2 linked regions of the Tamandua tetradactyla genome follow. The protein of the gene in region 1 purifies or fractionates together with the protein of each later gene. This does not show direct contact. Links are inferred from orthologs where the notes say so. Each region holds a gene or a part of one and is shown in the gene's direction. Other genes may lie near its edges.

The links. The genes of interacting proteins can lie anywhere in the genome.
Region 2: the proteins of STAT3 (region 1) and HDAC3 purify together in Homo sapiens (affinity purification with western blotting; 4 studies listed by BioGRID). This does not show direct contact. The link is inferred for Tamandua tetradactyla from reciprocal best matches to the Homo sapiens genes STAT3 and HDAC3.

The regions. Positions count from the first base shown.
Region 1 is NC_135332.1:24,835,128-24,842,325, forward strand, and holds the start of STAT3 (signal transducer and activator of transcription 3), read left to right. Parts: upstream 1-4,192; 5' UTR 4,193-4,408; intron 4,409-4,524; exon of another isoform or gene 4,525-4,676; intron 4,677-7,198. UniProt on the Homo sapiens protein: Signal transducer and transcription activator that mediates cellular responses to interleukins, KITLG/SCF, LEP and other growth factors. Once activated, recruits coactivators, such as NCOA1 or MED1, to the promoter region of the target gene.
Region 2 is NC_135346.1:21,769,371-21,777,144, reverse strand, and holds the start of HDAC3 (histone deacetylase 3), read left to right. Parts: upstream 1-4,763; 5' UTR 4,764-4,822; coding exon 4,823-4,877; intron 4,878-4,982; coding exon 4,983-5,065; intron 5,066-6,298; coding exon 6,299-6,441; intron 6,442-7,774. Other genes in the region: FCHSD1 (F-BAR and double SH3 domains protein 1), read left to right, coding at 1-60; RELL2 (RELT-like protein 2), read right to left, coding at 1,089-1,121, 1,220-1,595, 1,884-2,069, 2,516-2,582, 2,693-2,758, 3,156-3,339. UniProt on the Homo sapiens protein: Histone deacetylase that catalyzes the deacetylation of lysine residues on the N-terminal part of the core histones (H2A, H2B, H3 and H4), and some other non-histone substrates.

The DNA.
Region 1 (7,198 bases):
ACCTTTTTTCCTCCTTTAGTCCCTTCCTTGGGGCTCGTAGAGGATCATGAGGTCTAGAGATAAAGTCCAGGAAGAACAGCTATTCAGGCTCTTGAATGAGGCATATTTGGATTTGAATCCTGTTTCTGCCACTTACCATATCTATGTTCTTGTGTAAATCACTTGAATTTGGGTAAGCCTCGTTTTTACTTGTCCATAAAATTATAGTATCTTATAGTTACTGTAAGGACAAAAGGATTAAATAAATTAATACACGTGTCACATGAGTAAATACAAGCTGAGAGCAGTGGCTAGTACCTGGTTAACATTCTGTAAGTGGTAGCTATTGCTGATATGATTATTCAACACATATTTATTAATATGTAATTAATTCAGAATTGGGCGAGCTTTGAGCTGGCTGCTAGGAGCTGGGCTTATGAAAAGGAACATTATACAGCTTAGCTGTATAATATTAGCATATATATTATAGGAACTATATTAGCATAGTTCCTGGAACATACTAATTACTCCGAAATGTTAATTATTAATTTTGTTTACCAGGAAGTAGGTTGATAAATGGATACATTACAGTCCAAGAAGATAAATGGCTTGCTAGATGTGGCAATAACCCGCTGAGGAAGTCCAGCAGAACAAGATTTTAAATTTTCAAGGAAGAATCTAAGAAAGCCCAGAGGAGGTAATGTTGGAATGGGGCCTTGAAGGGTAAGAGTTCTTCGGGAAGGAAACAAGGATGGGGAGGTCTTTCAGGAAGAGGGAATAATACCTGCAAAGGCGTGGAGTTGTAGAAAGTGCTGACATGTTTGGAGGAAGGTAGTAAGCCCAGCGTGGGGGCATAGGGTACGTGGGATAGAGGAGAAGAGACTGGAAAATGGGGGTTAGGCCATACTCAAATGGCTACTACTTAAAAAAAGGAAAATAACAAGCGCTGGCAAGGATGTGGAGAAATAGGAACACTTGTGCATTATGGGTGGGAGTGTGAAATGGTGTTACTGCTGTAGAAAACAGTTTGGCAGTTCTTAAAAAGTTCAACATAAACACCAGGAATTGCTGGCAACCACCAAAAGCGAGGAGAGAGGCATGGAACTGATTTTCTCTCAGAGCCTCCATAAAGAACCAATCTTGCTGACACCTTGATTTTGGCCTTCTGGCCTTCTGAACTGCGAGAGAATAAATTTCTGTTGTCTAAAGCCAAAAAGAAAAAAAAAAGTTAAACAGAGAATGACCACATGACCCAACAATCCCTCTTCTAAGTACGTACCCAAAATAATGGAAAACAAGGAATCAGACAGAGATCTGTTCACTAAGGTTCATAGAAGCTTTATGTACAATAGTCAAAAAGATGGAAGCAACCCAACTGTCCATCCACAGATGGAGGGAGAAACAAAATGTGATATATACATATTACAATGGAGTATTATTCAGCCATAAAAAAGAAATGAGGTGCTGGTACATGCAACAACATGGAGGAACCTTGAAGACATCATGTTGAGTGGTATCCAGACACAAAAGGACAAATATTTTAGGGTCTCCTTTAAATGAAATAATTAGAATATGCAAATTCATAGAGAGAGAAACTAGATTACAGTGTACCGGGGTGGAGGTGGGGGTGAAGAATGAATGTTAATGTTTAATGGGTATGGAGTTTCCGTCTGCGGTGATGGACAAGTTTTAGTATGGGACGGTGGTGATGGTAGCGCAACATTGTGATTTAACACTACTGACATATATCTGAATGTGTGGTTAAAAGAGAAAATGTTATTTTGTATATATATTACCACCACCACAACTTTTTTTTAATGATTTGCCTAATCAAATTAAAAACAGGGGAGGGGACTAGGCGAGACTTTTTAGGATTTTGTGAGTCAAACTAAGAAAGGGAAAGAAGAACAATTGAATTCCTACCATATACCCAGCTCTGTTAGATGCTCAGTATTTCTCATTTTGGTGGGATTTTATCCTATAGGTAATAGGAAACAGATTTTTCAGCAGGTCATAACACAACTGGATATTTATTTATTTATTTATTTATTAGGATAATGTCCTTCATCATCCACCTCAGCCAGGCGAAGGACAAGGTTGGAGTGAGGAGAGAATATTCCGGGGGGCCACAGCACTGTCCCAAGTGACAGAAACCATCTGCTTTAACCAAGGGTGCTTCTGAGTAGGTATGGAGAAAGGCCAGCGGCAGGACTGGAGAGAGGTTTTGTAGGTCAGGTGGATAGTCTGCTCAGGGGCAGATTTTGTGTGTGAGGTGGGGCTGGTGAGGGAAACAAAGCCCTTAGGGAGAAAGGCAGGTTTTGAGTGGCTGGAGCAAAGCTAAGCTATTCAGAGTCCAAAAATGTGGCTGTAAACCCACTGGTTTACTTCTGAGTATCAATCACTGGGATCTTGAGGATGTCAGCTATCTTGGCCTTAGTTTCCTATCAGTGAATAATATGACCTCTCTTATTTGTCAAACATGATTGTTGTGAGAAAGAAAATAGATAACGGGTGTGAAAGGGCTTTGTTAGCAGTAAACCACTAAACAAAGGCACTATGTTATTAGAGAGGGAGTCAACTGCATGGAACAGCAAAGCTAAAGCAGAAGTTAGCTGAGGTAGAAGGTGGGAGATGTCTGTCCTGGTCTGGAGATAAGATAAACAGAGCAATCAACACAAATGCACACACACACACTCACACCATACAGATAAGTACAGAAATTTCTTTACTGGATTGGGTGTACAGGAGAGCAGTGGGAGACTCTCAATCCTGTCACTAATGACCCTATCAGTTGTCCTACAGATGCTTTCACCTGCTATTTGGATATGTCTGAATCTAGAGTATTCTGAGGGGCTTCAGGTAGCCAGGGAACCATGTGAATTTGTGAGTAAAAGCTCTTGCTGTATTTTTCTGGAGTTAGAATCCAGATGCCACTCCGACTCTCTGAAGGGTCTGTGACTCCTACCCCTCAAAGGTTAAGACTCATTCATTTTCTCATCAGAAATTAATGAGAACAGTCATCCTGGGGTAACTGGTGAGGGAAAGGGGAGGAATAAATTTTCATTTTTCACTTTCGACCTTTCTGAATTTTCTAACCAAGAACCTGTATTAGTTTCATTTGAAAACCTATTATTAGGGGTTATCTGGGTGTTAGGATGACTTTTTAGATATCGTCTTTACACCTGTTTGCATTAAACAAACAGAAATACCAATAACTTATTTTTTAAAAGCCCTGATAGTATCAGCCAAATAAAACAAAGAAATCACTCCCTTATGCAAAGTTCATCCTACATCACGTAAAGCAAAATATCTACACTTCCTATTGACTACTGGCTTCAATTCAGTAAAACCTGCATATAAAGTAGATGAGGTGAAGGGAAAAAGCTGGCAAGTTAAGGTATTTCAACTCAGATGCCCCAAAATGTCAAATACTGTGTCAAATACGTGTCAACCTTCATATATATTATCTTCAGCATTCTCGTGTACCCGCCAACGGGCGAGCTGTTGGTGTTTGATTCTTGAAGCGATGGAACGGAGGACAGGGTTAAATTCACTACTGTCTCCCCACGCACTCTAACAATTACTCTATTTCCATGTCATGTTTCCGGGTGTGTGTGTCCCGACTTACACAGAACTTGAGTTCAAAACAGGCAGGAGATACCCATGTTCTTTTTGCTGTCGCCAGAAATCCAATTCAGGAATTGGGAGCCCTGAGGATCTGGCTATACGTGGGGACTGTCTAACTGGCTGATTCCCACATGGTAAAAGGTTCCCAACCTCCTCCCACGTGGCGCCACGGGCCAGGAAAAGAGCGAGCCGGCAGGCGAGAGCCGCATCAGGGGCATTTAAAGTGTCTTGACGTCACACACTGCCAGGAACTCAGCTGAGTTTTCAGCAGGACATTCCGGTCATCTTCCCTCCCTCCCTGCCGGTTTCTGGGCCGAAGGCCTCAGCTCTTCCCGGGCCGTTGCGGAGGGAGGAGCACGACGCCTTCCGGAACAGCCAACGCAGGGGCGTCCCCAGTCCTCTTTTGCCACCGCCCTTCCCCCCAGCGGCTGTTCTCATTGGTCAGTGGGTGTGGCTTCGCGTGCACAGGGCAAGCCGCGGGGCCTCCTGTGGCCCAGAAAGCTGGCCATCTCTTGAATTATGCATAAAGGCGTGTCTAGGCCAGGCTGGGGCTGGGCGGGATTGGCTGGAGGGGCTGTAATTCATCCGTTTCCGGAGCTGCGGCGCAGACCCGGGAGGGGGAGCTTGGGGTTCCGACGTCTCAGTGGAGGCCCTGAACCCGAACCGGATCTTTGACCAGCACCCCCACTCGGCGCGCTCTCTCCGCCGGTGCTAACTGAGGCGCTGCGGCTTGAGGGAGCCCCGTGCCCGCACGCCGGCCCAAGCGCAGCCCTTGCCTGTGGGGCCTCTACCGGGGAGACAGGTGAAGGGGGTGAAGGGTGGGGCAGCCTCTCCGGACGGCCCCCAGGCCTGACGCACCGTGGCGGGCGCCAGAGAGGGTGGAAGCCGCTGGGAGGGTCTTTCAGGGAGGGGGGTGTGAATGGAAACTTCAGTGGGGCGGGGAGATACGAGGGCGCGCTCGATCATTCTGAAGGGACACCTCCCAGGGCCGACAGGAGCGGGCCTCTGAAGGCAGAAGGGGCGCTGGAAGGAAGTTTCGTTCCAAGAGAAAGGGGAGAAGCCGCGGAAAAGTGAGAATGAGTTCGAGGGGTGGACCATGGGGGCGAGGGCCCCCTGGGACGGGGGTGGCAGGCGTGAGGGACAGCTCTCCGACTTCCTGCTCCCTGGGGCTCTGGAGACGTGCGGGCCTCAGGAGCGACTGTCAGGCGGGCGAGATCACTGTAGGGGGGCGCGTGGGAAGAGCCTCCTCCCGCGCGCCGCGGGCAGGGATCCGGCGGCTCCCGGCAGAGCCATTTCTCAGCCTGGCCGGGTTCCTGCTCCTTTAGGAGCCAGCTCTGCTTCTCTGGGGGGAGAAATAGGTGTCTTAATCCTAAAGCCCCACGGGCTGGTTGGTTGTGGGTAGGATTGTTGCATAAGAATCAAGTTTCCTGTAGGGAAATTGACAGACTTGTGCTTTCTAAATTTCCTCACATCTTGTTGTAGTTCAAGGCTTGCTTTCCCCATCCCCCACTCCTTTTCTAAAAACAAAACAAACTAAAGCCCCAGTCAAGCCAGCTCTAGAGAAGAATAAATCTCTTTCCTCCTTGACATTGTTCTTTTATGAATACCTGATAAACACGGTCAGAAGATAAATAATTGAGCCATTTCACTTACTGGATTGTGGTGTTGCTTAATTGCATAGGACAGAATGAACCAATCGAGAGTGGGAGTTTTCTGTCCCAGAGCCAAGATCTTGGGTAAATGCAGAAGAGAGGGAAACAAAGACAGGCTGGCTGGCCTTGGCAAAGTCATGTGTGCAAACTTTACCTGCGTTTGGGGTTGTGCTTCAGTTAGCAAAATTATATCATTCAAGTTGCTTTTTCCTTGCTTAGTATACAGCACTCATATCAAGTGGGTGTCTATATGTCGACACGATCAGTGGTTAGTTGCTTTATTTATTAAAAAATGTATATGGTGTGTGCCTGCTGATCTTTATTGTGTGTGTGTCAATGGTACACTTACTATGTGCCTAGTTTGTAACTTTTTGGCTGGCTGCACTAATAAGCATTGATTTGAATAAATCAAAATAGTAACTTATCTTGATCTTGTATATGTGGGTTTAGATTGCATTAGGACTCGATTCAGCCATATTTCTATTTTTTTTTGTTAAATATGTCTGTGTTCCTTGAGTCAACACGTTTATTTCCTTATTACATGTGCCAGACTGGAGTACTAGCAGAATTTTTGTTCAGACATTTGCACAGTGAGGTGGGGGAAAGAAGTCTGGAATAACGAAGAAAAAATTGCTTTAAATGTCAGAGGGTTAATCTTAGTCTCTATATTTGTTAGCAGACCCACCTCAAAGAACTGTTAGCAAAGTCAGGGATCTTTTGTTTTTAAATATAGTTCTTTTGGGAAGAAGAACCTGTTAGAAATACCCACAGTTATGACTTGACCTACAAAGGGCTTGTGAGGTAGGTAGTTTATATTAATATTTACCCATTTTGGAAATAAGGAAATTGAGGCCAAAGGAAGAAGACACTTGCTCCAAGGGAGCAGAGTGCCATAGTGGTGAAAGTACTATTGCCTGTACATTTTGTGTTCTTACACAGGTAAGTAATGCTTACTTATAAAGCCTTGATTTAGAGAGAGTGTAGGCCTTGCTTGGGAAAAGTGCCAGTGAAATTTTGACATATATCTGAACAGTGAAATACCTCTAGCAGGCTATATGACTTAACGGAAGACAGAGATTGATTCATGAACAGGTGAAAAAAGAAGTACTTAATAGGACTTGCTTAGGTTATTTTTCTGTCTAACTGCTATGTTTAAATTTAGTAGGGATAATTTACGTAAGAATTTCGCTATTTGGCTAATGAAAAGAGGTATTTACTTAGGAAAGTTTGTAAATGAAGGACAATCATGACCTAAATGCCACCTAAACCAGAGTGCTTTGTGTCTTGAGCATTAGTATCTGGTGTCTCCAGGAAGGTATTCTCTTTTTGTTTCCTCCTCAGCCCTTCACATTCAGATGTGAAGATGGGTTAGCGATGGTGACCATCCTTCCAGACATCTCAGCTCATGGTTTCCTAAGAGGTGGTGTACAAATAAGTAAAAAAAAAATTTACTGTTTGTAACTTTGTGAAAGTTGCTGGTGAAGAATAAAATGTATCTTGTTCACAGAACTTTCAGTCTGCTAGGAAAACTTTATAAATGGTTTAACCATCCAGGGTAACGTGTCATAAAAGAAGTGCTAGCAATAATATACCCATTATATATAAGAGAACATTTAGTACAGATGTAGAACATTTCTGTTATCCAGATAGTTCTGCTGGACAGTACTTGACTAAGAGCTATAGGTCTTGAGAAGACAAGTTATGAGTGCTGGAATTGTCAAGGAACTCTTCTTGGTAAAAGGGGTGATAGGAATTGGGTCCCATATAATGGGTGGAATTTTGATGGGTGTAAAGAATTTGGGGTGTGGTGGTATGGGAATATAGCATGAACAAAATCTTGGTAGGTCAGGAATATAAGTAGGGGAGGAAAAGGGCCTATTTATAAAAGTTCTTGAATGCAAGATCAAGGAATGTCGATTCTGTCCTTTTGTGGGGAGATG
Region 2 (7,774 bases), on another chromosome or scaffold:
CACTGCCCCCCAGTGATGCTGCTGTCAACCCCACGCTGTCAGAGACCACTCCCTCAATGATCCTGAACAACACAGCCAAAAGCTGGAATCTACCCCCATTTCTACTCTCATCCCAGGGATAGAAACTTTTCTTCTCACCCATTTCTGGGGCTGGAACCCATTCTCCTTCTGCCATCTCTATAGATAGCTGCCCCTTCCTCTTCCACCACTACCCCATCTCTAGGGCTGGAATCCCCTCTACCCCATCCTGAAAGCTCTGGGGCTGGAACCCACCTCTCCAAAGTCTTGAGTGGCTCTGACCCATCTGCATCTCCATCCCAGCTCTTTGCCCCACTGCACCCTGGATACCTGGGGCTGGGGCCAGGACAGGGGCAGGCTTTGGGAGTCAGAAGGAGCTAGAGCCAGGAGGCAAAAGCAGCTGTAATGGTCTGAGCGGATTTATTGACAGTGAATAAAGGGCAAGAAGCCCAAGCTGGGACCTCTTGTGCCAAGAGGGCAGGGGGCCTAAGTTACTATTGCTTTAGGGGCCCACCAAGGGCAGGGGTCTGCTCCCATCTGCCAGTGCTAGAGCATATGGAGCCAGAGGTATTGGGGAAGGTGGGTCAGATGGCCTGTTGGCAGGCAGGGGAAGGTAAAGAAACTGGGAGGTGAGGTGGGAGGGACTTCTCCCAAGGTCCCCAGCCTGAGACCGTGCAAATCCAGGTGGAAGTAGGGCTGGTCCTTCAGCTGGGGGCAGTGCTGTCCAGTGGAGGGGAGGCACTTCATGCCCACCCCCTGTCGCTGGCTCTGCCAGCTGGTAGTCCGTGCAGCGCAGTGAAGAATGAGGCTTGGAGGAGAAAGAGGGTAACAGTGTTGCCTCCTATTCAGGCTCTATCCCAGCCTTTCCCAAGTGGTTGTAGGACCCTCCCTCATTTCCAGGTTCTAGAATATACCCCCTAGAAGCAGGCCCACTCCCCACCACTAAAGCAAGGAATATATAGCAAAAGCTAAAACCATAGCTGTTTACCCTGGGGGCTTGGGGAGCAGAAAGGCTTGAGTAGGGAGTGGGAGGATGAGGTTCCCTGCTTCAGGGTCTAGGAAGACTTACCTCATACACCGCCTGCTCCCCGTGGTGGGGACACCTGAGAGAAAGTGAGAGGGACCATATCAGCATCCCCCAGAGTAGCGAGCAATAATCTCAGCCCACCACGTCCCTCCACAGCCTTGGCCATCTTCATACCTGGTGATCTGAGGCGTTCGGTTTTGTGGGCTGTCCATTTGCTTCTCGACTGGGCAGCTCTGGGCCTGGGCCCCTCTCTCCAGCCCCCAGCACCGACTCTGCAGAGGCTCCACATTTCCCCTCAAGTGCACGAGGGACTACACTGCTGTCCCTGAGTCCTCCATTCTGCACTCGGGGGCTGGCGAGGGCCTGGGGCTGTAGCCCCTCAGGGGGCAGCCTCTCACTGGCAAGCATCCCTGCCCTGGGCTGCCCTCCCCCAGATCCCTGACTGCCCACCGGGTCCTGCCCCCCACCAGAGCCCCAGCTTCTGTCTGTAGGGGAGCCATCACGATGCTCATGCAGCCCATAGCGCTTCTCAATGTGTGTCACCCGGAACCTGGGAGGGGAGGGAACACTGGGGCTTAGGATCACAACTCAGACACTGCTTGGCCCTCCCCTCCAACCAGGGACATCCACTTCCCTCCAGCCTAAGGCATGGGAGGCCCCCTCAGACTGGGGGGCACATTGTGCCATCTGATTATTGCTACAACTCCCAGCCCAAGAGGAAGGAGCCAGCGCCTTAGTGGGTCCTGCATGGAACCCCACCAGGCCCACCTTTGGAATGAGATGCCTGATCTTTAGGGCCCCCACCTCTCTCCCTTTCCCTGGGGCACTCTATCCCCACCTGCCTACAGAGAACACAGTGGTCTCCCCAGGCCGGGGGCGGCTCTTTCCTTCCTTGGAGCGGCCCTGACGGACAAGTGGGGGCCTCTTGCTGCGGCTGCAGTGGATGCAGGGGGCTGCAGAGCCCAGGTGCACTGTGTGATGGTGGGAGGGGGCTCCGTCCTGTAGGCTGGAGGTGGCATCCACGCTGGACAGTAGGGATGAAGGGAGCAGGGATGACATTCCCACCTCCTTTCCTGTTCCATGTTTTCCTGTTCTTTCAGCATGCTCCTTAAACTCCCAGATGCCCCATTTTCCCTGAGCCACTACATTTGTTTTGTTGTCTTTGTCTAATAAAATCAATATTAAGATATTAGTGACCATGTGCTCTCCCTATCGGGACTGTTTGCTAAAAAGAGGGCTTGCTTAATCCAAAGGAGTGGCACTAGAGATGAATGGTAGGTTTGATGATATCCAGGTGGGAGATAATGGTTTGAAGCATTGATATTTCTACAAAACTTCCTATGGGTGAGTTAGATCTCCCCCCACCCCACGCCACCCCAACCAGCATGCAGAGAGACTGAGAGATTGTGCTGGAGGAGAGGTTATTCTCTAAAGCAAGCTAATCCATCATGGCCCATGTTCCCAGCTCACCTGGACATCTGCACTGTCCCTTCTCCTTCACTGTCCCCCAACATCTCCTTCAAGGCCTCAGCATTGGCTGAGGGGAGAAGGGAAAGATGGAGTCAACACAGGTAGAGGACAGTGCAAGAGTAAGTGGGGAGAGGTTGTAGGAACGCTGTCTTCAGGATGCCACACAGGTTAGCCCACCTTCATTTTGGATGATGCAGCGAACAATCCTCTCTACTGTGTCTTCATTCATGTCATCCTCCTCAGCTGAAGGATGAAAGGGGTTGGCAAAGAAGGGAGAAATGAATCAGCTTTGGGAGGACATTTAACTAGTGGCCCCCATGGCTTATTGGTTCAAATCATACCCCCCATCCCCCTGACCTATCTGCCATCATTCTGGACTTTAGTATTTCAGGGGTCAGGGCAGGAAAGATGGGGAAGTTAATGGGAACCCAAGGTTCTCATCTGTGGGAGATTCCCACCCACGCTGCCTCCTATGGTCTTGCTTGAGGGTGGTTCTGCAGACTCAAGGAAGCCCCACTATGCCTCTTGCAGGCTTGGGGACGATTGGACCTGGATATGTTGGCCTGGGAGGCAGAAAGCGTTGTGGGGAGATGGTAAGGGAGAAAGGAAACTGAACCAGGGATCCTGACTTCTCACTCACGGGGTTGGAGCTGGGTGTCATCTGGCTCTGAGCCCCTGGAGGTGCGGCAGCGGTAGCCCTTCTTCTTGAGCACGTGGCAGATCATGAAGCCTACCAGCCCCATGAGGAAGAAGACCAACACAAGCAGGAAGAGCATGTACAGCCCATGCTGGGGCGGCTCCAGGTCAGGCTGTGGTTCCGCCATGAGGCCCTAGGGGTTGAGCACGGGCCAGGGCGCCTTCTGGGGCAGATGGGGCTCAGCTAGGGATGGGGAGTGGGGAGGGTAGGAATGCCATCTTCAGGATCCCAAACAGGCAAGCCTCTGAGGTCCAGCCCCACCCCCTACCCAACCCGGGACCTGTCCAAGGGCGCGGGTTCGCCGAGACCCGCCCAGGCCGGGTCTGCGCAAGCCCTCTTTCCCGACCCTTGTCCCGCTTCCCCGACGCCCGGAGCTTTTCTTTTTCCATCTTGTCCCCGCTCTTCCGTCCCTCCCAAGGACACTGCAGCGCGAGATGGGACGCAATTCTCAGGCAGCGGCAGAGAAGTAGCGCCGGAGTCAGTGGCCGCACCACCTCTGCGCCGGCCTGGACCGGGCCTCTGCCTCCCCCTCCCCTGCTTGTGCTCCCGCCATCCTCCCATCTCCGTTTAAGATTCCTCCCACCCTGACCACCTGGCCCACCCGGTACCGGTGGTTCAGTTCCGGCTCCGGCTCCGGCTCGGGCTCGGGCTCCGGCTCCGGTCCCGGCTCCAGGGGCGTCCTAGTCCGGCTCAAGGCCCCCGACGCCCTCCCGGCTCTCATCCCTCGCTTCCTCCCCCTCCCCCCTTCTCCGCCTCACCGGCTCCGGGCTGCGGCTGCGGATACCGGTACCGCGGCAGGCGGGGGGAGGGAAGGATGGAGAGGGATGCCGGCTAGTTGGGAGCGTGGCACACCGGCCCTGGGAAGGGGAGCAATGGGGTGGGGGCGGGGGTGAGAGGGCGCCGCTGCGCGGGGTCTCCCAAATGCCTTCACCCGCCGGCGGTCCGGGACCTAGGGGCGGAGCGCAGGTGTGCGGGGCGGGGAGCGTGAGCTGTGTGCGCGTGTGAGCCCAAGTGTGGTGCGCGCGTGACTGCGCCGGGCCCCCGGGGGAGTGTGCGGCGCCGAGTCTGAGTCCCAGTCCCAGACAGGTGGTCCGACGGGGCTGCGCTCCCCGGGTTGATCCCGCACGCCTGGCGCGGCTCCTGCCCTCCGGTGCCTCTACCAGAAGAATGGCCAGGAATCTCCCCAGCGGGCTGGAGAAAGCAGGCTTTCTGCATCCGAGAGGGGCGGCGTGCCGGTTCTCCGGGGCTTCCTAGCGCGGTGGGCGCGGAGAGCACGGCCTGCGCCCCCTTTTGGACAGGCGGCTAGAAGGGATGAGCTCAGCTTCTAGAGGATTTGAACCCCGCCCGAAAGGAAATGGCCCTCGCATCCTAGGACCTACGTAAGGGTCCCAGGGCCAAGCCCGGATTCTCCAGCTCTACAGCTCAGATGGTTGAAGCGAGCCAAGAGGCGGGATTCCCGCAGGGGGCGTGGCATAGGCGTGGTCTCGGGAGGCGGGGCCTGTGATTTTCTCCGCAGAGGCGGGCTGCGTGTTTACGTAGCACGCACGGTCAGGGGTGGGGCTGGCGGGCCGGCGGGCGGTGGAGGCGCGGGCCCTGGTGCTGTAGTCACCATGGCCAAGACCGTGGCCTATTTCTACGACCCCGACGTGGGCAACTTCCACTATGGTGAGGCAACAGGGCTGTGCGCGAGGGGTTTCGGGACGCGGAGGTTTCGAGGCTGGGGCTGTAACTTCAGAGGTAGGAGCTGACAAACTCTCCTCTCACCCGCAGGTGCTGGGCACCCTATGAAGCCCCATCGCCTGGCATTGACCCATAGCCTCGTCCTGCACTACGGTCTCTATAAGAAGATGATCGTAAGTCCCACTGTCTCAGCCACGGTTCGGGGTGGGGTCGAGCTGTGTCCTTAGGCATAGGTGGGCTGCACTGGATGCACCAAGTGCGGCTCGCACCCCTACTGGAGGGGCTGATTAGAAAGCACTAAGAGCCCCTCGCTGTCTCCATAGTGTTAAGGGTGGCCTCCTCTGATTTAATGGGAATTACTTCTTCAAGTTAACCAGTCCTTGGCTAGGAGTAGGTGGGGTGGGACTGGTTTGAAGACATTTTGCATTTTTCGGTAGTGCTGTTGCCTCAGGGATGGGGGAGAGGCTGGACTCTCGTTTATCCTCAGTTCCACTCCACCTGTCGCCTCTCTCTCCATCTCCAAGGAGCTAGAGCTCTGGAAGGAGCATTCAGCAGTCATAAATGTAAATGTATTTGTGTGTGTAGGACTCAGGAGATGTCTTGAATGTCCCCTTTCCAACCTAGAACATCCATACATGGTTCTACTTCACCACTATCCAATCCTTCATCTCCCACATATACCCATGCTACCCCCAAGCTTGGAATTTATAGCTGCAATATGGAATTATAACCATTAGGCCCAACCGTTATACATTGTGAAGGGAATTAATGAATGTGATTTAATGTCCACTACTTATGTGGAGGCACAGATGAGTAGATTGGTCATAGAACAGGTTGAGGTGACATCAGTGCATGTATCTGTGAAATCCCTAGAATCATTTGTCATTTGGCTTTATGTACATGTGTGCATTTACTGGGGAGAGAAAAGCTCCTGTGTTCTTGCCCAATTTCCAACAGGATGTGTGAATCCCCAAAAGGATACTAAATATCTAGTTTAGCCCCTTGGTTCTCATACCCCATAGTATTTGATTCCAGAATGAAGAAGAACCCAGCGGGCAGAGCAGATAGAAGAAGAGCCCAGGAGTAGGAGACCCACAGAACAGGACAGGAATCAGGGTTCAAGATTGAGAAGGCAGACGAGACTGGGCTAGAGGTGGGAAGGAGGAAGCAAGCCCAGTGATCTTCAGGGGGCATGACTGTAGTAAACCACCTGGCTAATTGTAGCCTCTTCCATCTCAGACTGAACTTTTGCATCATAGAGTGACAGGGATCAAGATCGGAGAGGGTGGGGGGAGGACTGCTATATGTGGTTTTGGACAATCCCCAGGGCTTGGCTCAGTGTGAGTGGTTTCAGTTCATGAATGGGGCTGACCCCGCCTGCTGTCATCTTGTGTCTCCATCCCAAGGTCTTCAAGCCATACCAGGCTTCCCAGCATGACATGTGCCGCTTCCACTCTGAGGACTACATTGACTTCCTACAGAGAGTCAGCCCCACCAATATGCAAGGCTTCACCAAGAGCCTTAATGCCTTCAACGTGGGCGATGACTGGTGAGGGCGGTCTGGGACTTTGGATGCCAGGCACCTTGAAGGAGGGGGATACTTGAGTGAGGTTTTGTGGCAGCAGTGGGAGGTGATGAAAGGGGCTTGCTTATCAGTGGTTCATCCTCTCTTTGTTTATTTGACAAATATTTATTGATAATTTACTGTAAGCCGGGCCCTGTGCTAAGTGCTGAGAATGAAATGATGAACAATCAAATAAAAAAGTGGGGAGAAAGAGAAGGATGGGAAGCCCATCATGGAGTGTACAATGTAGTGTGAAGGCAATCATAATCGACAAATAAATGTAAGGTTGTAGTTGTGCTAAGTCCTACAAAGGAGAGGTACATGACAGACTATGAGACTATATAGCTGGAAAAATAATCTAATTTGGGGGCAGGCTGGTTAGGGGAGGCTTCCTGGAGGGAATAATGATGACTGAATTGAGATCTGAAGGAAGAGTTGAAGGTGAAAGAAGGTTGGGTGGATGGAGGGTGAGGGGAAGCATGTAGTGGGCAGTGGGGGTCTGTGCTAAGGGTCTGTGGTAGGACTGAGTATGACTCATTTGAGGAACAGAGAAAGGCCAAGTACATAATATAAAGAGAATGATCTGAATCAAGTCTAAAGAGTTAGGTGGGGCCCAACTTCTTAAGCAGCCCTGTTATGAATCGGAGTTTCTACCCTCAGAGGAGAGGGAAGCCACCAAAGTGTTTTAAAAAATAAGGAGGGTGACTTGACCAAGTTTACATCGAGTTTGTATCATAGTCAGGGCTTGTAGAAGACTCAGGCCTAGGTACTGTGGGAAAGAGGGCAGAGAACAAAGCTAAGCCATGATCCTTCCTTACTGTTCTGGTATACAACCATGAAAAAATCATAACTGTAACAGCTGCCTTTACTCAATTTTATTTATTTTCATTTTTAAGCTTTTATTAGGGAAAATTTCAAATGTTTCTAAAAGTAGAATTATACAGTGACTTCCCATTTCTCTACTATGCAGCTTCTACAATTATGAGCATGTGGCCAATTCTATTTTATCTGTACCCCCTCAGGTTAGATTGTTTTTAAGTGAATTCCAGATGTTGCATTCTTTCTATTCTTAAAGACTTTATTTATGTATTTTCAAATGATATGCTTAAAAAATATGTAACCACATCATCATAACAACTAAAAATTAACAATAATTTCTTAATATCAAATATGCAGTGTTCACATTTCCCCAGATGTCTCATAACGTTTTTTTTTTTTGCAGTTGGTTGTTCTAAACAAATTCTGCCCAGGCTTTTTTTTTTTGTTCTTCTAATCATTTCTTTTTTTTTAGTTTTTAAAATTTTTATAAATAAAACCA